Daphnia pulex: one gene and its partners. The protein of the gene in region 3 purifies or fractionates together with the protein of the main gene of each other region. This does not show direct contact. Links are inferred from orthologs where the notes say so. Each region holds a gene or a part of one and is shown on either strand. Other genes may lie near its edges. The genes, in order: probable RNA methyltransferase Y17G7B.18, serine/threonine-protein kinase prp4-like, U4/U6 small nuclear ribonucleoprotein Prp4-like, zinc finger CCCH-type with G patch domain-containing protein-like and squamous cell carcinoma antigen recognized by T-cells 3-like.

What was found.
Region 1: the proteins of U4/U6 small nuclear ribonucleoprotein Prp4-like (region 3) and probable RNA methyltransferase Y17G7B.18 purify together in Homo sapiens (affinity purification with mass spectrometry; 4 studies listed by BioGRID and IntAct, with this or other methods). This does not show direct contact. The link is inferred for Daphnia pulex from reciprocal best matches to the Homo sapiens genes PRPF4 and MEPCE.
Region 2: the proteins of U4/U6 small nuclear ribonucleoprotein Prp4-like (region 3) and serine/threonine-protein kinase prp4-like purify together in Homo sapiens (affinity purification with mass spectrometry; 3 studies listed by BioGRID and IntAct, with this or other methods). This does not show direct contact. The link is inferred for Daphnia pulex from reciprocal best matches to the Homo sapiens genes PRPF4 and PRP4K.
Region 4: the proteins of U4/U6 small nuclear ribonucleoprotein Prp4-like (region 3) and zinc finger CCCH-type with G patch domain-containing protein-like purify together in Homo sapiens (affinity purification with mass spectrometry; 4 studies listed by BioGRID and IntAct, counting the BioPlex papers as one, with this or other methods). This does not show direct contact. The link is inferred for Daphnia pulex from reciprocal best matches to the Homo sapiens genes PRPF4 and ZGPAT.
Region 5: the proteins of U4/U6 small nuclear ribonucleoprotein Prp4-like (region 3) and squamous cell carcinoma antigen recognized by T-cells 3-like purify together in Homo sapiens (affinity purification with mass spectrometry; 5 studies listed by BioGRID and IntAct, counting the BioPlex papers as one, with this or other methods). This does not show direct contact. The link is inferred for Daphnia pulex from reciprocal best matches to the Homo sapiens genes PRPF4 and SART3.

What each region holds. Positions count from the first base shown.
Region 1 is NC_060021.1:10,083,905-10,088,468, forward strand, and holds the start of probable RNA methyltransferase Y17G7B.18, read left to right. Parts: upstream 1-1,680; 5' UTR 1,681-1,787; intron 1,788-3,498; exon of another isoform or gene 3,499-3,569; 5' UTR 3,570-3,778; exon of another isoform or gene 3,779-3,818; intron 3,819-4,028; 5' UTR 4,029-4,056; coding exon 4,057-4,564. UniProt on the Homo sapiens protein: S-adenosyl-L-methionine-dependent methyltransferase that adds a methylphosphate cap at the 5'-end of 7SK snRNA (7SK RNA), leading to stabilize it.
Region 2 is NC_060020.1:7,005,025-7,009,610, reverse strand, and holds the start of serine/threonine-protein kinase prp4-like, read right to left. Parts: upstream 2,917-4,586; 5' UTR 2,761-2,916; coding exon 2,756-2,760; intron 2,694-2,755; coding exon 2,553-2,693; intron 2,423-2,552; coding exon 2,194-2,422; intron 2,135-2,193; coding exon 1,404-2,134; intron 1,329-1,403; coding exon 1,241-1,328; intron 1,165-1,240; coding exon 835-1,164; intron 492-834; coding exon 256-491; intron 1-255. Other genes in the region: regulation of nuclear pre-mRNA domain-containing protein 1B-like, read left to right, coding at 3,262-3,412, 3,473-3,712, 3,769-4,140, 4,196-4,371, 4,464-4,586. UniProt on the Homo sapiens protein: Serine/threonine kinase involved in spliceosomal assembly as well as mitosis and signaling regulation. Connects chromatin mediated regulation of transcription and pre-mRNA splicing.
Region 3 is NC_060018.1:6,530,655-6,534,939, reverse strand, and holds U4/U6 small nuclear ribonucleoprotein Prp4-like, read right to left. Parts: upstream 2,758-4,285; 5' UTR 2,618-2,757; coding exon 2,259-2,617; intron 2,200-2,258; coding exon 2,080-2,199; intron 2,017-2,079; coding exon 1,618-2,016; intron 1,558-1,617; coding exon 1,281-1,557; intron 1,191-1,280; coding exon 1,134-1,190; intron 1,071-1,133; coding exon 984-1,070; 3' UTR 872-983; downstream 1-871. Other genes in the region: tumor protein p63-regulated gene 1-like protein, read left to right, coding at 1-18, 220-360, 454-581, 653-846; splicing factor 3B subunit 4-like, read left to right, coding at 3,758-3,791, 3,857-4,170, 4,231-4,275. UniProt on the Homo sapiens protein: Plays a role in pre-mRNA splicing as component of the U4/U6-U5 tri-snRNP complex that is involved in spliceosome assembly, and as component of the precatalytic spliceosome (spliceosome B complex).
Region 4 is NC_060017.1:8,204,360-8,208,769, forward strand, and holds zinc finger CCCH-type with G patch domain-containing protein-like, read left to right. Parts: upstream 1-1,464; 5' UTR 1,465-1,491; coding exon 1,492-1,692; intron 1,693-1,754; coding exon 1,755-1,934; intron 1,935-2,010; coding exon 2,011-2,276; intron 2,277-2,334; coding exon 2,335-2,507; intron 2,508-2,566; coding exon 2,567-2,833; intron 2,834-2,901; coding exon 2,902-3,090; intron 3,091-3,157; coding exon 3,158-3,453; 3' UTR 3,454-3,659; downstream 3,660-4,410. Other genes in the region: uncharacterized protein LOC124193369, read right to left, coding at 3,660-4,172, 4,255-4,360. UniProt on the Homo sapiens protein: Transcription repressor that specifically binds the 5'-GGAG[GA]A[GA]A-3' consensus sequence. Represses transcription by recruiting the chromatin multiprotein complex NuRD to target promoters.
Region 5 is NC_060026.1:14,702,859-14,707,503, forward strand, and holds the start of squamous cell carcinoma antigen recognized by T-cells 3-like, read right to left. Parts: upstream 3,198-4,645; 5' UTR 3,036-3,197; coding exon 2,868-3,035; intron 2,804-2,867; coding exon 2,677-2,803; intron 2,617-2,676; coding exon 2,512-2,616; intron 2,457-2,511; coding exon 2,179-2,456; intron 2,125-2,178; coding exon 1,692-2,124; intron 1,619-1,691; coding exon 1,445-1,618; intron 1,383-1,444; coding exon 1,214-1,382; intron 1,153-1,213; coding exon 997-1,152; intron 938-996; coding exon 511-937; intron 450-510; coding exon 302-449; intron 232-301; coding exon 139-231; intron 72-138; coding exon 1-71. Other genes in the region: zinc finger and BTB domain-containing protein 18-like, read left to right, coding at 3,404-3,624, 3,690-4,108, 4,177-4,451. UniProt on the Homo sapiens protein: U6 snRNP-binding protein that functions as a recycling factor of the splicing machinery. Promotes the initial reassembly of U4 and U6 snRNPs following their ejection from the spliceosome during its maturation.

The DNA of each region.
Region 1 (4,564 bases), on a different chromosome or scaffold from region 3:
AATGTCTTACATCGTCAGAATACCGTATCATTTTTACCTGGCTACTGTATTTTTTTTTCCTGCTGCACTATTGGCTCATCCGAAACCATTCGAGATGATCCAATGGTAGATGGCCAAGAAATTTGGGAAATTTAATAAGGGAAATTTGAATTGATTAAGACAAAATTAATTGACAAAATTTACAGCGATTAATTATTTTCACATATTGTACTATGTTAATTACCTATGGAAAATTTAAAGCAATAGACAGGAACAAAGCTGAAATCAAACTGGAGATGATTACAAAAATGTTCGTTGTGTCTTTGCAGGTTAGAAATGTGGATAGGACAAAATCTTCCCTTCCCTTAGGCTGCCGAGGGGGGGGGGGAGCAGATACGTAAACGTGTTTCTAATTCTGAGTTTATAGAGAACGCCTCGCCTATAACAGAGAATGACATTAAAAGAAAGAAGAAAAAAGGTAGAATAAAAACAGGGCCTTATTTGAAAATTCGAAAACAAAAGAAATATATAGGGAAAAAACTCGATGCGTATCGTTTTGAGCGTCAAAGTAACGTCGTTTGTATCTGTCAGGATACTTTCTCTATTTAGATCTATCGAGATAGGCAAGCCAGCAGCCATAGCGTTGGAGTCTTCTTCCCTCTTCGAGTTGATGTGCGCACATTTACAGTATAAGAATCTCGACTGCGGTCAAGAAAAGGAAATGGAAAACTGTGAAGAGTTTTATTAGTTTTACTACACAAATTATTGCATTTATGCCTTATAATCAGCATATACTACGTATTCTATCAGCACAAAGTGACTGCAAGAATCTGTGGCTGAATAAGGCTGTTTAATGAAACCATTTTTGGTGACAAACACATCCAACGGTTGCAGCAGCATAAATAAGTTGGCAATAACTTGTCTCGTATTGAATGCTTTTGTGTCTCGTTCGTCTCGTTTGTCCATCTCCAATTACGGAATCAAAGATCAACACTGTTTTGTTTTTGTTTTTTAAATTTTTGGATGAGCGTGATTTCTGGTTGGAAGCAATATCCAACCCGGAGGCAACGCGTTGCTTGCACTGATTGAACGACTGCAAAATGATCGTCGCTTTGAAAAAAATTTCGCTTTGAAAAAATGTTCCCAATGGTTTCAATTAATTTGATTTAATAGCTAACACTCTGAATTACTTGTTAAATATCGCAATAAACTTGATAACAAAACTAGAGATTTGGAATTTTAAAAAATAATAAATAAAATCTATCAGATAGAATAGAGACACGCGTGTCTCTATTAGCGGTACTGACAGTAGCTTATTCTAGAAATGAGTTCGTTGCCTCCGCTGGTGTTCTGGTAAACTCATAACACTTGAAGGAACAGAAAGGAAATGAGTTATTATCATCAGATGGAGTTCGAAGAGGAAAATAGTTAAGGGTGTTAAATAGCAAGAGCATTGGCATTTTTTTAGCTGCGAACCTGGGAATAAATAATATGTTTCAAACGGAAAAACTCGACTAAAATTAAGTAAAATCAGTGGAAATGAGACGGGCAAATAGATAAAATTGGTAATGTGATTCTGCATCGAACACGATATCAGATTCAGATGCACTGTGTTACATATCATTGACCTCAATTTTTTATGTTATAAGATGACCATTTTAATCATGTATGTCTCAACATTTGAGCATGTGAATTTATTCTTGTTTCGTCTACGCTCGACGGTAGCCTACTGCTTTTTCTCCATGAAGCCAATTCCATGTCACTATCATATCCTAAATATCATTTCAAGATATAGGGTCTACCAAACCGTAAGTACATAAGCAAAGATTTTGTAGGGTGAAAGCTAATTTCATTATGTGCTTCAAATTTGCAACCTTTTCCCGCTGGCGCTAGTTATAAGTTAACATATAGCCTGTGGCGCTATCAATGCTCACAAAGAATTACCGCATTATAAAGATTAACTAATTAATTATAACACTGAGAAATTTTAGGTTAAATATTGAAAGGGAGAATCAAGAGATAAATAATCAAGAGAATGATTTTAAACATCTACAGTTAACATTGTTTAGCTATTACTATAAGGGTGAAGCCAGTATGCCGAACGCCGAAATAGGGGGAAGAGAATGGGTAGATAGATGTCGTGTACGTGGTGTGATTGTGTGACGTATATTCGTAATATGTGTATAACAAACACGCAGGCAGTCGACAAGTTGTGGCATTTTACTTCATGAGCCACGCCATCTATTGATTTCTTATATTCCCTTTTAGATCCCTATCGGCCTCTCCCTACTCCGACCAGATTTTCAGATTGCTATAATTAATTTCTGTCGAGGAAGAATTATAAGATCTATGACCAACTGATAGATGCAATCAGTGACCAATTTAACTCAGCCCACGAACAAATGTGACAAACCTATTTGATGTAAGACTTGTGCGTACATTGGCAAATATGAAATTCAAATTTATTTTGATGTGAAACTTACTTGACACGGTAGCCAAAGTAGGTGGTAAGAACCATCACGGCAGAATTATTTCAATTCATAATAGGATAAAGCAAATCATGCAACAATGCACAACGGTGCTGCGGTGTTATGTACGCTCATGCTTGCGGCTTTCTACAACAATTAACAAACATGAACATAATCAAATTATCAAAAAAGATCAGCAATTCAATAAAGCAATTTTTATTTGGAATTAAGTTGTGAGATAACTTTTAGAGGAATGGAAAGATGTTACGTGTATACCTGTCCTACGAATGCGACAAGAGACGATTCTTTTATTCGTGCCGCATTAATCCTCTTGCTGAGCTGCTGCAAATTGCACCTTTATACTTAAAACTAAAAATTTCGCCATCTATACGAAAACGATGGAGTGATCATAGTATCATACACCGAAACTAGATGGCGTGGAACGAAACGTTAACAAAACGTTTTTATTGAGTACCTGAATGGCTGAATCGAATTCTGGAAAATTTAGATCTCCAATATATGATTGGATTATATATGATTACGAATCACATGATGGCAAGATTATTTACATTCTTAATAAACTTGGATAACTCGTTTTTACATTCTTAAGTCTTAACAGATGCATGCGTAATTATTAGTAATTGCATACGTAGGAGATGTCACTTTCTCCCTGCATGACAGAAACAGAAATTTAGTAAAAATTTTGAATTCGATTATAGGAAGTACACCTAGAAATGTTACAGTAACCTAACCGAGTTTATAAGATACAACAAAATATATTGAGTAGTAACAGATTCACAATTTAACACATAATTAAGTCAAATAGGAGGAAATAAAATCATTCATCATGTTCGTCGACATGGCTTGAAATTGAAGTATTTTTAAATTGCACTATAATATGGATTAAATTTTTTTTAATGTCTTACAACTTTATGAAGTTTTAACGAATAGTTTTTTACGTTATCCGTCACTTTTAGTTTTTGATGTACATAATAAATGCACGTCTAATTTTTATCTATTACTAAGCTATAGAATTTTTCAATAATATTGGATTTCCATAAGCGCATAACCTGACTGCAATTAATTCTCGATCAACCGCAAATTCAGTTTCTCTTAAACTAGGTACACATGTAATGCTCAGTGCTTTTTTTTGCCAATTGTGCAACGCTGCTATGAGAGAGGGGATGTATTTATTACTGGGGTATGGGGACTGAACGCAAAGAAAGGAGCAGAAGCATCAGAACGTCGAATAGACAAGGTTGCTCAGGATACACCTTGTCCAGAAATTGGAACACAAATCATCACTTTTGCCAACTCAATTTTAATTCTAGGTAATAACTCATCCTTTCCAATTGTATTGGAGCCAAAAAAGTAGGTTATAGTTAATTTTCTTTGTTTATAAAATACGTTTATGATGTGAGGTTTCTGGCGTGACCGCTAGATGCTGCACAGCGTGTGGATTTATTTAAATTTGAAAATTATTTAGAATTTGCATTAAAAACTTCTAAAATTGCAATGTTTTAGTGTGTCAATGTTTAAGCAGAGAGATGTGTGTATTGTAAAGCTGTTTTCTTTTTACAGATTGCTGAAGCAAATTTAATGAAACATCATGGCATCAACCCAAGTAGTCTCTCTCAGTATTGGACAAATGAAGCGGGTGCATTTTCCTGCAGAAGGGGATGACAGACCTGTAGAAGCTATTCCACATTTTGTCAGTCCCAAAAAAATGGTGAAACCAGTAACAGGCAGTCAGCGCAAAAGAAGTCTCAGTCTTTCATTTGAAAGCAAGCAACATCACTTCAAGAGAAGACGCAAGGAAGAATTTGTGAGACCAACAAAATTTCTACTTGGAGGCAATAGTCGAGACCCGTTGAACTTGGGCAGTCTAGCAGATGAAAGAATCAACAAAGCTTTGAATGAGCATACCCCAGAATCCTCTCCGTTACCAACCCCTAAACACAGGAAGGAAGAAATTGAAGTATTAATTCCATCAAATATAAGGGATCCTTTAAACCTGAGTATGCCAGATGATAATTTAGCGGAAAGAGCGTTAATATCTCCGAATGCCGTCTCTAGAAAAAAGAGAGGACGAAACCGTAAAAGAAGGAGGACCAATA
Region 2 (4,586 bases), on a different chromosome or scaffold from region 3:
CTCTCGCCATCATAAGGGAAAAGATATCCGGCGAAAGCCCGTTGATGACAAGGCACATAGTTCACAGCATTACGTAAACAGTTCGATCCAAACAGATTAATACCCAACTGATTGGGCTGCCCGATCGGTTCATCCACTGTAAATCAAGAACAGCTATAAAGGCGAACTGATAAGCATGCATAAAACTCAATGAAAACTATGTGCATTGACAACTGGATACTTCCTTGGGAATATACGCAACTGATGAACACTCACATGATCTCATTGTTGCGAATAATCTTGATTGCCACTTCTTGGCCAGCTCGAAGTTGATCTCTTGCACGAATTACATTCGAAAATACACCTTGGCCCGTGTAACCATATACAGAGTATCGCCCATCCAAAGTCTCTCCTATGCAAACTCTGTAATAACCTTCGGCGTCGTCCCAGTTGTCAGTTAGATTAGGGTTGTCTGACACGCGTTTCATTTGTTCCATAGCGGTAGCAGGACTCTGTTAAATGTACATAGAAAATGGTTTCCAACTGCTATTAAAATTGTTCAAACATGACTTCGAATGACAAATGGTGCATCAGTGTGCTCATACAAGAGGAAGCTAAGATGCCGAAGTGTTGCTTTCAACGACGTCGCCAAAGGAGCAGTCGGACACGGCTTCTTCTATTGATCTACGATAATCTCAATGCCATCAGCTTAAACATTTTTCTAACAAAATAGTAGGCTCATAAAATAAATTACGAAGATACGCAAGTAATATTCGGCACTAACTGAAATTACTTGTGAGTAGACTGGATTGAATATGGGCACACTAGAAAAAAAATAATGAAATAGAAACTCACACTGTACTCTTCCGCAAACATATCAGCTTCCGGAGCGAACATGTCTCTCTTTTTAGCACGCTTCTCTTCCTCAAGCTTCGCTTCCCTGGTATCCGTTTGACTGTCAGTTTTTCCAGATGGTTCACCAGTGATAGAATCTTTCTGCCTATCCACATCACTAAAGCTGCTTTTTGTCACGATGATAGGAGAATCAAACGACATGTTAGGAGTGCTCATCATAGAATCTTCTCCGCCTTCGTTTAGCACTTCTTTGAAAGGTGACGATGTTCCAGATACGTAGCCCTCTACATTCCAAGACTGGCTGGAGTCTTCTGAAGGAGCTCCCAGTTTCTGTGATAAATGTAGGTAGAAAAAAATGTTAACTGCCAATAGGTGCTTTGTTTAAAATATTCAGAATTTGCATTACCTTAAGCAACTCCTCCCTCTGTTTACGGCGTTGCTCAATAATCTTATCCTCGTCTTCTTCTTCATCCTCAAATTCAATATCCAGTGGACTAATAAATACGCAACAGAAATTAGGAACAATTAACAGCTGAAAAATCTACATAAACGCTAATCAAATTTCTTACACATCTTCCGATGATGACTCGTTTGGCTTGCTAGATTCTCCATTCTTCGTAGAACGCCTTTGATCTTCTTTACCTGGCCGATCTCTGTGATCATCTCTTCTCGGCCTATCTCTGTTCCAGTCTCTATTACGATCTCTTTCACGATCTTGTTCATTTTCTCTAGTTTGGCGATCTCGTCTGTCTGGTTCACGACCTCTGTCACGATCACGCATTCTTCGATCTCGGTCTTCTCTCTCGCGCTTCGACCGCATATCTCTGTCTCTTCTATCTCGTCTCTCTTTAGATCGGTCTCTTCTTTCGCGCTCGACTCTTTCCCTTCTTTCTCTTTCCTCTCGTTCACGTTGATCTTTCCTTTCTCTTTCCTCGCGCTCACGTTGTCGATCTCGCTGTTCTCTCTTTTCTCGTTCTTTTTCTCTTTCTTTCTCCTTTTCTCTATCCCTTTCTCGTCCAGGATCTCTTTCTTTTTCTCGATCTCGTTCTTTTCCTTTTTCTCTTTCACGGTCCCGTCCAGGTTCTCGTTCTTTTTCTCTACTGCGTTCTTGCTCTGACTCCCTTTCTCTTATCCGTTCTTTATCCCGAATTAAGCGAGATTCCTTATTTCGCGTTTCGGTTAAAACTTCGATTTCTTTCAATTTGTCTCGTAGTTTTTCAGTAGTTTTTACTTCGATCGTTTTGGTTTCGGTGTCAGAGCAAGAAGAATCGTAAGCACCAAGTCTAGCTTGCAGCAGCTCCTGTAAAAAAAAGTTCAATATTGTTAATGCTTACAAAATAATGTTATGAGATGAAAAACCTTTTGTTTCATCAGTTCTTCCAGATTCAATTCTTCTTCCAAATCTACAAGGGTAATTTCTTGAGATTTTCCATTTTCCACTCCATTTTTCAGAGTTTTCCTTGCTTTTGCAGGTTCAGTTTCCACATCAGATTCTCCCTTTTTTATCTTTTTCTTTTTCTTCCTTTTTTGTTCATCATTTTCAGATTCATCTGAACTTTGATCCCTCTTCTGTTTACGTTTCTTTTTCCTGAAAGGTAGAAAATTGGGATTGCAACATTCATTTCGTCAACACAAAACAATATCATAATTTATGTGATTTGTATATCTATAATACATACACGGGAAAAGTTTGAATTTTTTGAAACTTGGAAACTTACTTTGGCTTTTCATCTTTTTTCTTGTGTTTGTGAGTCTTCTTTAATTTAGTTTTTTTGTGCTTGCTTTTGGTTTCGTCTTCTTCTTTTCCTTCATTTTCATTCTTGGCTACCAGCATGTCGACGTCGCTCAACTCCGGTGTGCTTAAAAAGAATTCAAACTAATTTAGTTTATGATCATGTGAATATGAATACCATAAGCTTACCTCATATTGCTGTATTTTGGAACTAAAGGAATTGCACGCGTTGATCTAAATAATACACAACAACCTATTGAATACCAACACAGTGATGATTTTGTCGACAAATTTCGACAAATTTTGACAGACTAACAAACTAGCGAACAGCAGGGTTGTCAAACACTTGTAAATTATTTTCCAATTTAAACATAGAAAGCATTTGTTTTAATTTAGTCCTTATATTTCTATTAACTGGGTGATTTTTTATTACATTTTAATTTTAAACATGAAATATAGAATAAAACGAAATAAATTTATGACTGTTGTTCTTTTTTTTTATTATAAACTAAATCAAAATTCGGAAAAAGAGGATGGTTCTCATGAAATACAGACAAAAAATTTCGTGCATTTTTGTCTGCTACTTTACCTAATCGAGATTCTAGAAGAAGAGAAGACTGACTCACAAATCTTAGGGACTGAGTTTGCGGTTAACGTAATAGACGAAACTTAATCTATGGAGATTAATCTACAAAATGTCAGGATTTTCTGATGCCGCACTAGAGAAAAAATTAGCCGAACTAAACAACTCTCAACAAAGTATTCAAACATTGTCTTTGTGGTTAATCCACCACCGTAAACACCATGCTAGTATCGTCAAAATTTGGTTAAAGGAATTCACGAAAGGTAGTAAAAAAATTCCTAAATCCACATTTCCAATTAAATTCCAGCATTTCTATTTCTTAGCCAAGGACAGTCGAAAACTCACTTTCATCTATCTCGTCAACGATGTCATCCAGAACAGCAGAAAGAAAGGTCCAGAATTTAGAGATCACTTTGGTCCAATTCTTGCTCCAGCCCTTAAATTGATGGGTCAAGCTGTCAATGATGAAAACACTCAGAAAAGACTAGAACGAATTCTCAATATTTGGGGAGACAGAAACATGTTTGATTCCAAACAGATTGCTGAATTCAGAAAATCATTAGGTATAAGCTATAGAAATAATTTTCATTACGTAATTTTAAATGATACCTTCATGCAGAATCATGTCTCAAGAGAAGATTTGACAATGGAGAACCCCCTGTCAAAATATCAAGAAGAGATAGGGGTGAGAGCCGCGAAATGTTAGAAAATGTCAAAGAAAACAAAGAGCAAGAAGATCCTGATAAAACTAAGAAAGAACGAAGAAAATCAGAATGTAATGAAGTGATACAGTTTGATAAGGAAGGAAAGAAAGAAGTCCACATAACTTTGTCTCCAAAACTACCTGCTAATGATGCTCCAGAACCTGAAGAACTTGTTAAAGCACTTCAGACCCTTGAAAATGCAGCATCAAGTGATGGTATTGTCAGGAAAAAAATTACTGAATTGCCTCCTGAAGTATCAGATGTCAGTTTGCTTTCAAAAATCTCAGGTAATTCTTCCAAGAAATTTCGTGTGTGGCAATGCCAAAATCTATTTTTATTCAGATCAAGCTCAAGCAGAAATGTTAACTGGTAAAGTAAACGAAGCAGTTGAGTTACTTAATGACTACAATGGCCGATTGTTGAAGGAGATGGAGGATCGAAAAACGGTAACTAAAATGCTGCATGATTTCACGGCAGCACAGAAAGAACTTTTAGTTCAAGCTGAAGAAAGACTTCAGGTAGGGGATGTGACCTAACACACATCTTTGTTTTTTTAATTTAGTTTGGCATTGATAACATAATAAACTAAATTAATTTATACCTTTTTCAGGAGTATAAAGAGAAATTATCCAAAGTATACCAAGTTCGCGAAGAATTGCGTTCTCACGTTTCCAGTCTACCAGATCTTTCGCAGCTACCCGACGTCTCGGCTGTTCCACTACCCTCAGCGGGT
Region 3 (4,285 bases):
AACACACTCAATCACACCGTAAGTTTTTTCCGTTCAAATTTTTTTTTTCTTCAGATTGATGGGCATTGGTTACCAATCAACTGAAATTTGTCACAATCATGTGGATTGCAAGTAAATGTTTCTCTGTGTAAAAATGAGATAAGATTTTAGTGTCTACTTATATCGGATGATTGAAAATTAATTTAGCTTTTGTCGTATTTTTATATGAATATACTTTAGGAAATTCCAATACCTCGCAGATTCTATAACAGGACGATTCTCGTCTATTCTACGAGGTAACTTTAATAGTCAATCGGCATCGGAGCTATTACATAAACGTTCAACAGGTGAAGAAACTCAAACTGACTTCACTTCCGACAGGTAACATAACTAAATCAGACATGACACATTGATACGTTATAATGTAGAAATGTCGAACAAAAGTTTTCAAGAAAGTTCTTGCTTTGGAATTAGATTGAAAAGAAACGGCGTCCGAATTTTGTTTGGGTCCGTGCCGGCAGAACCCAATTTTACCCAGTTATGGAATCCATGGAGCAAGGCAATTCCCTGGTTAACGTTTTTATCGCATCCACTACTTTCAAGTAAAAAGATTGCAATTCTGTTAATCATTATTCGATGGATGTTAACTCTTATTTTTACCTATGAATTTTAGCTGAACACACGACTCCTGCTATATTCGACGTTAAAGATTTTACAGTCAACCTACAGCGAACTTTGCAAAACGAGTACCAGGGTTTAGTTGAATACAAGCCAATTATAATGAATTCGTATTTAGGGCTTCCAGCATTAGTACACAACTACAGTCAATTCGGATTTTACAAAGTACGAGGGAAAGTAAGTTTTTAATACTCCACCCAATCTTCCCAACCAATAGGCTTCAACTTTTTTGTATTTAATTTATTAATGTTTTCGAAGTCCAATACACAAATAAAGAAATCAAACAAGCATGGTCGTCTTCGAAGCTGCACTCTATACTTCTACATTTATTCAGGGGACCAAAGCTTGTAAGTGCGATCGTACGAGGCTGTGGCGATGAACGACCCGTCAGGCGATACATCAACTGCCATAACCTGTAACAATAAAATAAAAAAATTGAGAAACACATCACAAACGTATCTGATTAAAAAATTTACTTTTCCGTCATGTCCCGAAAGGGTTTTCAATGGTTGCCAAGTGTTACTCGCCCATATCTAGGGCAGAAAATTATTTCAAATATATATAGATGACAAATGTAACATTTAAAGAATGCAGAAAGAAAATCTATTAATGATTATTCATACCTTTGCGGTACAGTCATATGAAGATGAGACAATATACTGTCCGGAACTTCTTTCGAATTTCACGCTCGACACTAAATTTGTGTGTGCAGGAATAGTATAGATACAGGATCTCTTACGTAAATCCCATATTTTACAGGTATTGTCTTCACTTCCAGTTACTATGTGGTAGCCATTAGGTGATATATCGATGCCCAAGACACCTTTTAAATGACCTTCCATAAACATGATGCAGCGCCCAGTTCTGAGGTCCCATACTCGACCAAAAGAGTCCATGCCACTAGAAAAAATTCCACATGTAATTAAAATATTATGTTAACATATTTTTAGGTGTTGGTACCCTGTGATAGCCACTGAACCATCAACATTGAATGCTATGTTGTATACAGGTTTGGAATGCCCTTCTTGATGAAGAACTTCTACACCCTGTTCTAGATCCCATAGCCTCCAGGAATTATCAAAAACACATGTAGCTAAAAATCTTCCAGAAGGATGAAATTCAACTTTTGACACTCGATGCGGAGCATGTCCTTCCATATCAGCAATCGGCTCTTCACTTTCTAAATTCCACAATTTGACTGCGCCGTCCATGGAACATGAAGCCATATTTAATTCTGAAGGTTCTAAGCTCAAGGTGGCTTGTGGATGGAAGACTATTGCTCCAACACTACACTTGTGGCCTCTCAATGAATGAGACAAAGTGCAGTCAGGTACATTCCACAATTTACACAGGCCACTCCTAAAACATGAATTGTTTTTTATTATCTGATTAACTCTCTTACAATCTCAGAATATTTAATACCAGGAGGCAGTGGCCAACAAATTTCCACTTGGGCTGAATTGGCAATATGATATTGGTCTTCCATCACCAACTTGGCTGCACATGATGTTCATACCTCTCATCCGTTTCACCATTTCCTGCCTGGAAAAGAAAAAATATATTAATTGGGATGTGCTTTCATAACAGAGCATATTTCAGACCTTTTGGCTGTTCTTGTTGATTCTGGTATTTCAGATTCAAGTTTCACATTAGATAACCTTTGTTTTGCTCTGGGGAGGGAATAATATGCTAACCACAAACGAGCAATTTTGAGTGATTCAGGACCTTCATGATACCAAGTGGTTTCAGTTTGATCTTTCTCAACCTTCACAATTTCTTTTTCATCTTCTTTTTTTCTATCGATCAAATCATGTCCATGAACCGAGAGTAACTCTTTTAATCTATTTCGGCGATCAGCAGGTCCTTCACCAAAAAGGGTTATTGGTTCACCTAATTGCCTAAGATGTTTCCGAATTTCCCCATCGTCAATTGTGATAGCGAAACCGGTTGTGGACGACATGTTTAAAGAAATGTGTTTTCTAATTGAACTTTTCCTGTTTTGATCTCAATGTTTAAATATTATAGACACCGACACCTCGTTTTGTCACGTTTTTGTTGTCAATACGATCGTTCTTAAATCTTAAATAGACTTTTACAAGCCAGACGACTCCCAAACGAAAAGCGACTTACGGTATGAAAAAATCATGTGCAGCATACAGAGCCACTGGTGGAAAACTGGAAAACTATGTTCCATGTACTCATTCTTCGGATAATAAACTGCCGCTCGCAAAAGAAATTTTAAATTATGATGTGTGATTTATTACACTACCTAATATACAAAACAGCCAGTCTGAATAATACCTGAATACTGAATCTTCGGTTTATATTACCAATTTGTGATTTCGATTAGAAAAAAATTATTCGCACTCATAGTGCAGCACATGCCCATCTGGGATTTTTTTCCAAAAATGATTTTGTTGCAACCTATAAAATTGAGGTTCAGCTCAGCATACAGTTGTTAATAGCATAAAATGCCTGATATGCGATCGATTACACATGCAGCAGACTGTGTAACAGACTGTGTAACAGGCCAATTTGGTGTACGGAAACATTAGGGAGTATACTAGGCCTAGTATAGGGACATAACCAAAAATGATGTTTGAAATATCAGATTGTCAGTTCAAAATTTGGTTATCCATTTTATGCATCTAATTTTAGAAAACTGTATAATAACTACAAAGAATTGTTCTTAATAAAGATCTGTATGAGAGGGAAAGGAATAAAGGATGTATTCTATTAACGCTTTAGATACAGAAATTTTATATTCTTAGTATTTCGTAGGATTTCCGGATATAATTATACATGCTTAAACACGGCATTATTTATTGGAATTTGGCAATTTGCAAAGAGACACAAGACACCACACAGACTAAGATTTGAAAACCTGTCGGATCCTTCCGCCCTTGCCGCTATTGAGTGTGTGGGCCGGTCTTTAGCTCCGGGCGTCATCTAGTTGGAGCTTGGTTAGTCAAAAGCACTGGCATAGGAAAACTGATCGCTTGACCGGCCTTCAATAATACAAGGCAGACACACTCAAACAAGCATTTTATATTTTGGAAGTTTGCAAATTTCAGGTGGAAACTATTTGGTTACTTTCAGCATGGCTGCTGGACCTGTTTCAGAAAGAAATCAAGGTAAGAAATTTAAGTTTATTATGCACTAAAATGAAATGACTATGTGAAATTTTTATCATTTTCAGATGCTACCATTTATGTTGGTGGGTTAGACGAAAAAGTTACGGAGCCCTTGCTGTGGGAGTTGTTCGTTCAAGGTGGTCCTGTAGTAAATGTGCATATGCCTAAAGATCGGATTACTTTACTGCATCAAGGATACGGATTCATAGAATTCCTCAGTGAAGATGATGCTGACTACGCATGTAAAATTATGAACATGATAAAGCTGTATGGTAAACCCATTCGGGTAAACAAAGCATCAGCACACCAGAAAAACTTAGATGTTGGAGCAAATATTTTCATTGGAAACTTAGATCCTGAAGTTGATGAAAAACTTTTGGTAACCAATCAGCATTCCTTTAGGTTCAAAACACAATTTAATCTATTATTGCTTTTTTAGTATGACACATTTTCAGCATTTGGCGTAATTCTTCAGACACCAAAGGTAAATTTGA
Region 4 (4,410 bases), on a different chromosome or scaffold from region 3:
GTCTTTGTTGTTCGTTCCATTCCAGCAAGATCGACAAAGGACATCATGTGGATGGCAGCTTCACTTGGCTCGTCGCAATGGTTTGTTCGAAATAACTTAACCGTAAAGATGCAATGAGATCGACTGGAATTGTAGTTCAACTTGGTAGCAGCAAAGTGTAAGTTCTCTTTTCCAAAAAGCAAAACTCGGACAGCTTCATCAGCAGAAGGGACGCAAATCTCTTTAAGGCCTAGAAAACAATAAATTATTTAAAAAAATTTTGATTCACACAATATTAAATAGCACACGTTACCTTTACCAAAGAATTTCTTCTTGCAATCATCAGTAATACGCAAGGCTACTCATTTCTTCTTTTTGTCACATCCATCCAGTAGATCAAAGGCTTGTTCATTATAAATTTTGCAGTACGATACCCAAACTGAAAAATAATCTTGAGGGTGTTGAAGAGGGCAAACTGTCTCTTCTCAAGCTTGAATATTCCAATCATCCAATGATCCAAAAGGAACCGAGGAAATGCTGTCCTTAGTTTTAGAGTTGAAATGAAATCCATTCATCAAAATTGCCCTGAAAATAACAGTACGTAGGTTAAAAATTTCAAATTATTTCAAATAAACTATTTTTAAAAACTTTGCAAAAGGAGAAAATACTACCTCTCCAACTCTTCTGCTTCAATTTGGTTATGATTCAGTTTCATGACTTCATTAAGAACGAGTGGCTTTAGGGCAGGATTCTTAAGTAGTCTATCTTTCAGGCTGTTGAATACAACATCCAAAGAACGAGGAATTAAACCTGCATCTTCGACATTGCCCAGCAGCATAGTGTAGGTTTTGCCTGCACTGTTGGCTCCGTAAGTGAAAAGCAGTGCATTCTTGCCCATCAAGAAATCTAGTGGACGGCTGGAGTCTGGACGCACTGCATTCGAGCACCGTCAGATGGATCTCCTATCAACTATTTGAAAGTTCACGTAAGAATAAAGCCATTAGACGAGAAAATCAAAAACAGCACTTAATCGATCAACGGAAATCACATTATTGTAAGAGCACAAAAAACTTCTGCGTCATTCAAGACTAGACACCACTCTGGAAAGAACACTTTACCGAAATTAAAATTCAACAAAATTGATGACTCATCAGTGAAACAGGAACATCTTTTCAAAGACTCTGCAAGATTAATTTTGTACAAGATTTCTTGATGGACAAGAATGCACTACTTTTCACTTACAGAGCCAACAGTGCAGGCAAAACCTACACTATGCTGGGCAATGTCGAAGATGCAGGTTTGGTCGAGTCTATTGCACCGTCGGGCTGACGGTGCTCGAACTCCAGACTCCAGCCGATCACTCGCGATTTTTTTCATTTGGCCTTCGACGTTGCCAGATATGGCCAATTACGGCCAAATTTTTGTTCAAAATAGCCAAAAATTTAGCTAAAATCATAAAAAATCGAAATCACTCATTAGCAAAAATCTAATCTAACTTTAGATTAACAGATTATGCTCTCGTCACATTTTCATTGCTTTGCAACGCTGCTAGCAGACTACCGTAGTATTTATAAACAAAACATCAAAACCTTTTCAATTCTCGACAAAGCTCGATGTCTTTCTCGCTACAGTTTTGAAGTTGACCGTTATCCTTTTAATATGTCAGAAAGCGTGCAATCACTACAGGATTCACTTGAAATATACCAAAATCAGGTAGACACGATTTTAATTTTCTAAAGAATCGCAATTTTTAAGTTGTTTTTATTCAAACGAAGTTGAAACAAATACAAGATGCATTGTTGATCGCGAATGAAGAACAAAAACCGGACTTGCAGCAAATTGTAAAAGATTTAGAAGAAATCATATTGCTTACTGAAACAAGTCTATCAAGTGCACCGGTCCAGGAAGATAATGATACCTCATCAGCAAACAGCCAAAATGAATCATACTTGGATGTTAGTTTTGGTTGACAATAAGTGGCATAATTTCAATGAATCAGCTGAAATGTTTGGTTTTATTTTTATATTCTAGGAAGAACTTTCAGCATTAGAGGGGATGAAATGTAAAGCTCCGTTTAAATATGAATGGGGTGGAGTTGGATACCACAGTGCTATTATCATTGGTTCTGAGTTAGGCGAGGATGATTTAGTTTATGTGAAAGCTGTTTTCATGCACCCCACTACTAAAAAAATGCAGCCATGTCCATATTTTTTAGAAGGAAATTGTAAATATCCAGATGAAAAGTGTCATTATTCCCATGGCTACACTGTCCGATTGGATGAAGTGCAAGATTTCAGGTGTGTATCTCATCAAATCTAAATCTAAAAGTAATTATTTTTTCTCACTTCAAAACAGTGATCCAGACTATAGCAAAATCACTGAGGGCTGCACAGTATTAGCAAAGTATAAAGATGAACTGTGGTACAGAGGAATTGTTGAAGACATCATCAAAGGAACAGAGTTTTCCGTCAAATTCCAACATTGCAATGATGTACTGTTACTCAATTTGCATGCTGTCTATCCTCTAGGTAAAGGTTACAATATTTATGGCCATAGAATTATTTCAAAATTATTTCGATTTCATCAGATGAAGACGACGAAGATTCGTCCTCTGAATCCAGTGAGGATGAAGACGACGACGACTCTCAATTTACTCCGAGATGCCTAGAAGAACATAACGTAGGAGCTGCTAAAGAAACTGGCTCGTTTGGATTCTGGGAAAAACATACTAGAGGAATTGGATCTAGACTAATGGAGAAAATGGGGTATGTCCATGGTTCTGGATTGGGAAAGGAAGGAGAAGGTAGAATCAATCCAGTAGAAGCCATGGTTTTCCCGCCGGGTCGATCACTGGGTAAGTGGCATCAGTAGATATCTTTTTCTTTTAAATTTTAATTGGTCTCTTTGTTGGTTTTTAAAAAGATCGTTGTATGGAATTGAGAGAAGAAGCCGGAAGTGGGAATATGCTTTCGGTGGAAAAGAAACTTGAACGCCAAAAAGCCAAAGCCCAGCATCGATTGCGTCAAATAGCCAACGCATCCGAACGTGGATCAGTTTTCGATTTCATCAATTCCAAGCTTACAAAAACCAGTGGACAGGATTCCAAAGGAGGTAAGAGTACCAATAACTCATCCGTTAGCAGCCCTTAGCAATCTTTATTGTTTATTTGATTGGACAGACGGGGCTTCGCATTCACGAACAAAAGTGTCTGACTTGGGGCAGCTAACTCGTGAAAAGCTGAACGTTCAAAGCCTCCAGATCGGAGAAGAAATTCGCAGAGCTGAGCGTGACATCATTAAAATGAAACAATCTCTTCAACGTCAGAGTGATCGTGGTGACCTTGCATCCGTTTCGCAAATCAGATCGAGACTGGCCGAGAAAGAAAAAGATTTAGATCGACTTCGAGCTTCTGATCGTCACATAGTGAACGAGCAAAAGCAAAGAAAGAGCTCTTCTAAATTGACCGTTTTCTAAACTGACCTTTTCCGTAATACTTCCAATAAAGATAACCGTGTAACAACTAATAATCTAAACTTCGTTTCAACTAATCACAATGATCCATAAAAATGCGATATGAATTTTGTAATCAGAAAGTAAGAAACAATAAGAGTTTCCAAACAAGAAGGTAATAACAATTATAACAACAGTTCATTTCAATGGTGGGTTAGCGGGCAGTTAAATTAATAGAATCCGTTGAAGAATGGGTAAGGTTGAGGGTAGTAACCAGTAAATCCAGGGTAAGGAGTGACGAATCGGGCAGGAGCGATGGGAGCAACTGGGGCAGTGTAAACGGCGTTGTCGGGCTGGCCGTCCTGGTTCAGGTCAACGCTTTTGTAACGGAAATCGTTGAGGAATTCAGCTGGGTTGTGGGGAAGGACGGCAACTTGACGTTTGCTGCGGGTGGACTTGACCTCAGCGGCGGGAGCAGCGGCAGCCTGGACGAAGGGGTAGGTGAAAGGAGCGCCGTAAGTGTAGGGGAATCCAGCGCGGTAGTTCAGACCGGCGTAGGGGTAGTAGTTGGGCAAGAGAGCGGGGGCTGCGGTGTAGACTGGGACATCGGGTTGGCCGTCCTTGTTCAAGTCAACGCTCTTCGACAACAAGTCATTGGTAAACTGAGGATTGTATGGGGACCATTGGCTGTAATATGGGGCAACCCATTGGGCGGAGGCGCAAGCCAAGAAGAAGCTGATGATCTATTGATTAAATTGAATTGATTGTTAATGGTAGAGAATGAAAATATATTAAAAAGAATTGGATAGAGACAAAAGAACTTACCAAGAATTTCATATTGGGATAATGCTTGTAGTGGACAGACGTTGCAGTGAACAAGTGAAGAATTTGGAATTGGGTTCTTCTTTTATATCGTTCAAAATTAGCCGTTTGTTGAGATTAGAAACTATGGTGCAATACCTTTTAGTTTAGTTGAAACAC
Region 5 (4,645 bases), on a different chromosome or scaffold from region 3:
TGTCTGGTTCATAGCCATCGTCGCTGAAACTTCATCTTCGAATTCAACGTAAGCCAGACCTTTGGGCTTTCCTTTATATTTAATTAAATAGAAGTTAGTAAAGAAAAAATAAATTTAATTTAGATTATTAAACGCTACCGTTCCGTAACGTTACTAATCGAACGTCCTTCAGAATTCCAAATTTTTTAAACAGAGCTTCCAAGTCTTCTTTAGTAGTAGTGAAAGCTAAGCCTGTTATAACATCAAATAGATTTGGGATAAAAACAAATTAAGCTCGTACCTAAAGATCGCAAATACGTACCTTTGATAAACAGTTTTTTCTTTTCTAATGTTGACTGGTACTTGAAAGCTGGATGCTTCAATGCTGCGTCCGGTTCGCTTGGAGACATGAAAACCGGTCGTCCTTTCATGAGCTCACGGTCCCGCTTCAGAACTGCTCTCGCTTCATCCTAAGATAGTTTTAAATGAATTTAACGGACAAGCGTAGGAAATTTAATTATGGAAGTTTACTTGTGAAGAAAATTCGACAAAACAAAATCCTTTGCAACGTTGTTTGTAGTCCAGAACAAGACGTATGTCCGTTATGGTGCCGGAAGAACTCATCATGTTGCGTACATCTTGTTCAGATGTTTCGTAGGCCAGATTGCTTAAAAAGACCGTATTGGCATGACGGGAAGGATCGGTAACCGGTTTAGGAATGACAACGGGCTTGCTAGCAGGTTCGGTGGCGTTTACTTTAGGTTCAACTTTCTTTTTGGGAACAACTTTCGTACTAGTTGCTGCGGCATCATGGCTTATTTTAGGTTTTTTGGCAGGCACGGGTTTCGATTCTTTCGCATCTTCAATCTTTCCTCGTTTCCTACCTTTAGCCGTTTCTACTTCTTGAACCGTTTGCCCCTCTCTTTCTTTATTAACCTTCTTCATCCGAGCTTCACACCTGGCATATTTAAACAATTAAAATCAAAATTTTCAAAAGCTTTAAATTATTTTTCAGACCTCTGTTTAGCGATATCCATGGTTTGTAAGTCTCCTTCTTCGCGTTCAAATTGCAGCCATTGCTTAACGATCAACTCTGGCCAATCGGACGAAGAGACTCCATTTAGACTCTTCGTAAATAATTTGCGGACTTCTTCTTTATTGTTATCGTGTGTTCTGTTATAATAAGCATTGTGTTAATATAACTCTAATAGAATTAACTAATTAGATCAATAACCTTTCAAACTGAACACGAGCCAGCCACCACTGAGCAGATTTACTGTGTCCCCGGCTTATAATCTTGCTCCAGAGGTCTCGAGCTTTAGGCATATTATTCAGCTTTTTTGCTTCGAAATATGCCCAATATTGTAGCAGTGTACACTCCGGGTCTCCTTCGACATCATAAGCTACAAAACAAAAAAGTTATAGTTTTTATATTGGCGATTTCATTGGTCTTAGAAAAACTTACTTTGATCTAAATGTTCGGTCGCTCGTGTAAAAGCTTCACGAAGTTGAACGATGTTCTCATTGTCACTGTCACCCCATGTGCATTTTCGTACAAGGTATTCAATGAAACTCATCCAGACGGACAGCAAATCGGCCGCTGTTGCTAGTCCCGCATTGAAAGCCTTCTCTACTAAACCTGTTGAGTAAACCCTTGAATTATTAACGTAAAAAACAATATGAATGGTTATTATAATTCGCTATTTATCTACCTGCAATGAATCCATCCTCTTTTTTGTAGCGCTCGGCAGCCAAGATGTACTCAGACCAGATGGGTCCGTTCCACGGACAGTTGCGGATTGCTCGTTTAAAAATGGCAAAAGTGGTTTCTGCGGCTTTGAATTGATGATCGACGAACTTGCAATAATCGTTCCAGAATGAGTCATACAGCGGCATCTCGGCAACAATACGCTCGAAAAGTGCTTGAATGCGAGCAGGATCTTTAAATTCATTCATCTCGAGATCCAAATACGTACGGTAAGCTGCAACCTTGTGGTCGTTTTCAACAGCGATTATCAGGGTGTCTTCTATGGGTGCTATCTTTTCCATTTGTCCCTTTGCTTTGTCATAAGTGGCTTTGACATGTGGTTCAATTTTCTGATCCAAAATCTGAAGCCACTCATTGTATTCTGTCCAAGTTCGCTCCTGAAAATAAGACTTCAGTAAGAAGAACAAATCTACGATATTTAAGAAATTTACCATATCCAGCAAGGGAACGGAGAGTTGACGGTTGAACAAATGCGTGATTTTTTGGGCTTGACTGGTCTTCTCAGTTTCACTTCCACCTTTAGTTGTTTGATATATCGCCATTTCAAAATCGCGATAAGAATCCCACAGCAAAGCCCCCTTTACAACATGAAGTCCTCCATGTCGAATGGCTTCTTCCATAACTGCTCTAATTTTTTTCAATGCTTCAACACCTCCAATATCCATTCCAGCAAGACAAAATTGGATGTATTCCACCCAAATATCAATATCTGAAAATGATAATATTTATATTTTGAAAAGTTGAAAATTTATATTTTTATATACTTAAGTAGTCCTCTGTTGCCCTTTGAAACAGCAATTCAATTTTCTTTTTGTCTTCATCTGTTAATCCAAGTTTAATTTCATCTCTTAGCCAGTCAAGCCATAGTTCTAAATAAGAGAATAAGGAATGTAAAAAAAAAATTATCTAAATTGTTTATTAAATCTTACCTTCAGTCAGAGGATAAATGGCATGCATAGATTCTCTGGCATATCTCAACTGATCTAGTTCCCCAAGTTTTTGTAGAGAACTAATCAGTTCAACATGTGTGTTGTAGGCATTTGGAGATTTTGCGAGCTAAAAACATACAATTTTTTTAAAAATTGAACCAAAAAATTCACAAACATGGGAAAACACTTACTTCTTTTCTTAGTTCAACAATTCTTCTCTCGAGAACATAATGCTCTTCCCTTTCTTTTTCTGAATCATCAGAATCAGAGCTGCCTGACCCATTAGGGTTGTCATTGCCTTCAAAACTCATTTCTTCAGTCTCATCTTCCTCAGCAAAACCTTGCTGGACATCCATCATGAAGCTCTTTTTGTGTATGTGTATAAATAGAAGCACTTGTACTGTATAATTCTTTAATAATTCGAGATCGAGTTTTGGGGTTGTTGGGTTAATTTCAAAGACAACACAACATTACATCGATGTTGTTCGTATTCGGCACGCACAGCCTAGCGGCAGATGAATGAACTATCAAGCAGAAGACTTAAATCTTCACATGAATCACATCTGCTATTCTGCTTAACATTAATTGATTTGATTGACTGTTGAAAACAACACATCCAAGACGATCGCTCAACGAAATTCGAAATATACTTTATTTAGCTTTTTTAAAGAGTTGAAGAAATATATTTCCAGTGATTTTTAGACTTGGTTGACTCTTAAACAAAGAAATGGAAAACAAGACGAATTTTAAATCTCTGGACGATCTGTGGACTCGGAATTTGTTGGCCATGTATAAAAATCAATGTCACGCAGATGTAACTTTAATTTGTGAAGGAAAAAAAATTTTGGTTAATCGTTCTGTTCTCGCTTCGCTTAGCCCTTTGTTTAGCCAGTTGCTATTGGGTTGTGATTCCCATGTTGAGCCTGTCATTTTCCTTGAAGGATTCAGGTAATAGTCATTCCCATTTGAAACTTATTAAAAAATAACCATTTTTATCTTTTACCATTCAATAGTTATAAACCTATGGTCTGCTTGGTTAATTACCTTTACAATGGGATTGCTGAAGGATCATCAGTCGACTTGGTGACAGTGTCCACATATGCCAAAGAACTTCAAGTCAAAGGTCTTGTAAAATTACATGGGAAAGAACAATTCCAAGTGGAAATATTAGAAAAGAGAAAGGTTGAGGAACAGCTGCAAAAGCTGCAGTCGCATGAAATTGAATGTGATTCTGATTCAAGCTCAAATGAAGATGAAGATCTTCAAATAATTTATGAAAATGTTCAAGAATCTCTTCCCACAAAAACAGATGATTCAAATGAAAATTTGACCAAAAACACAGTTTCTTCAGAAATCAATTCTAAAAGGAAAAGGCAAATCTCCCAGTGCTCTACACACACTGAAAAGAAGATTATTTTAGAGCCAATTCCAGGTACAAAAATAAAATTGTATTACCAGTCTGTATAGTGATCACAAATTTGTCTATTTTCTTTACGGCAGAATCATCTAATAATTCAAAATCTGCTGTTGCAGTAAAAGCCCTCAAGTGCTCTATTTGTAAAGAGACATTTAATGCAAAAACAGAGTTAAGAAGTCATCTTGGAATTCATCATTCCGAGCAGCTGACTTGTAGCATCTGTGGAAAATTGTTTACCTCGCGCATTACTTTAAAGAGACATTTAAGGAGGCACATTTCTTCACTTGATGGCCTCCTTGGTTCGTTGTCACAGTGCCAACTTCATCTAAACGAGCCGTCAGATAACATCGCCAATTGACTTTAACTTCTAGTAAAGATGATCAACCATAACTGTAAAATTTTTATTGCAATTCTCCTTTTGGCCTATTGCACCAATATCCGTCTCAAGTAAGCATGTTATTTTCGATATTTGGTATGTGCACTACCCCTATATATTATTTTGAATAACTTAAATTGATTGCATTTGCTATTGAGTTCTGTGGGCTGATAAGA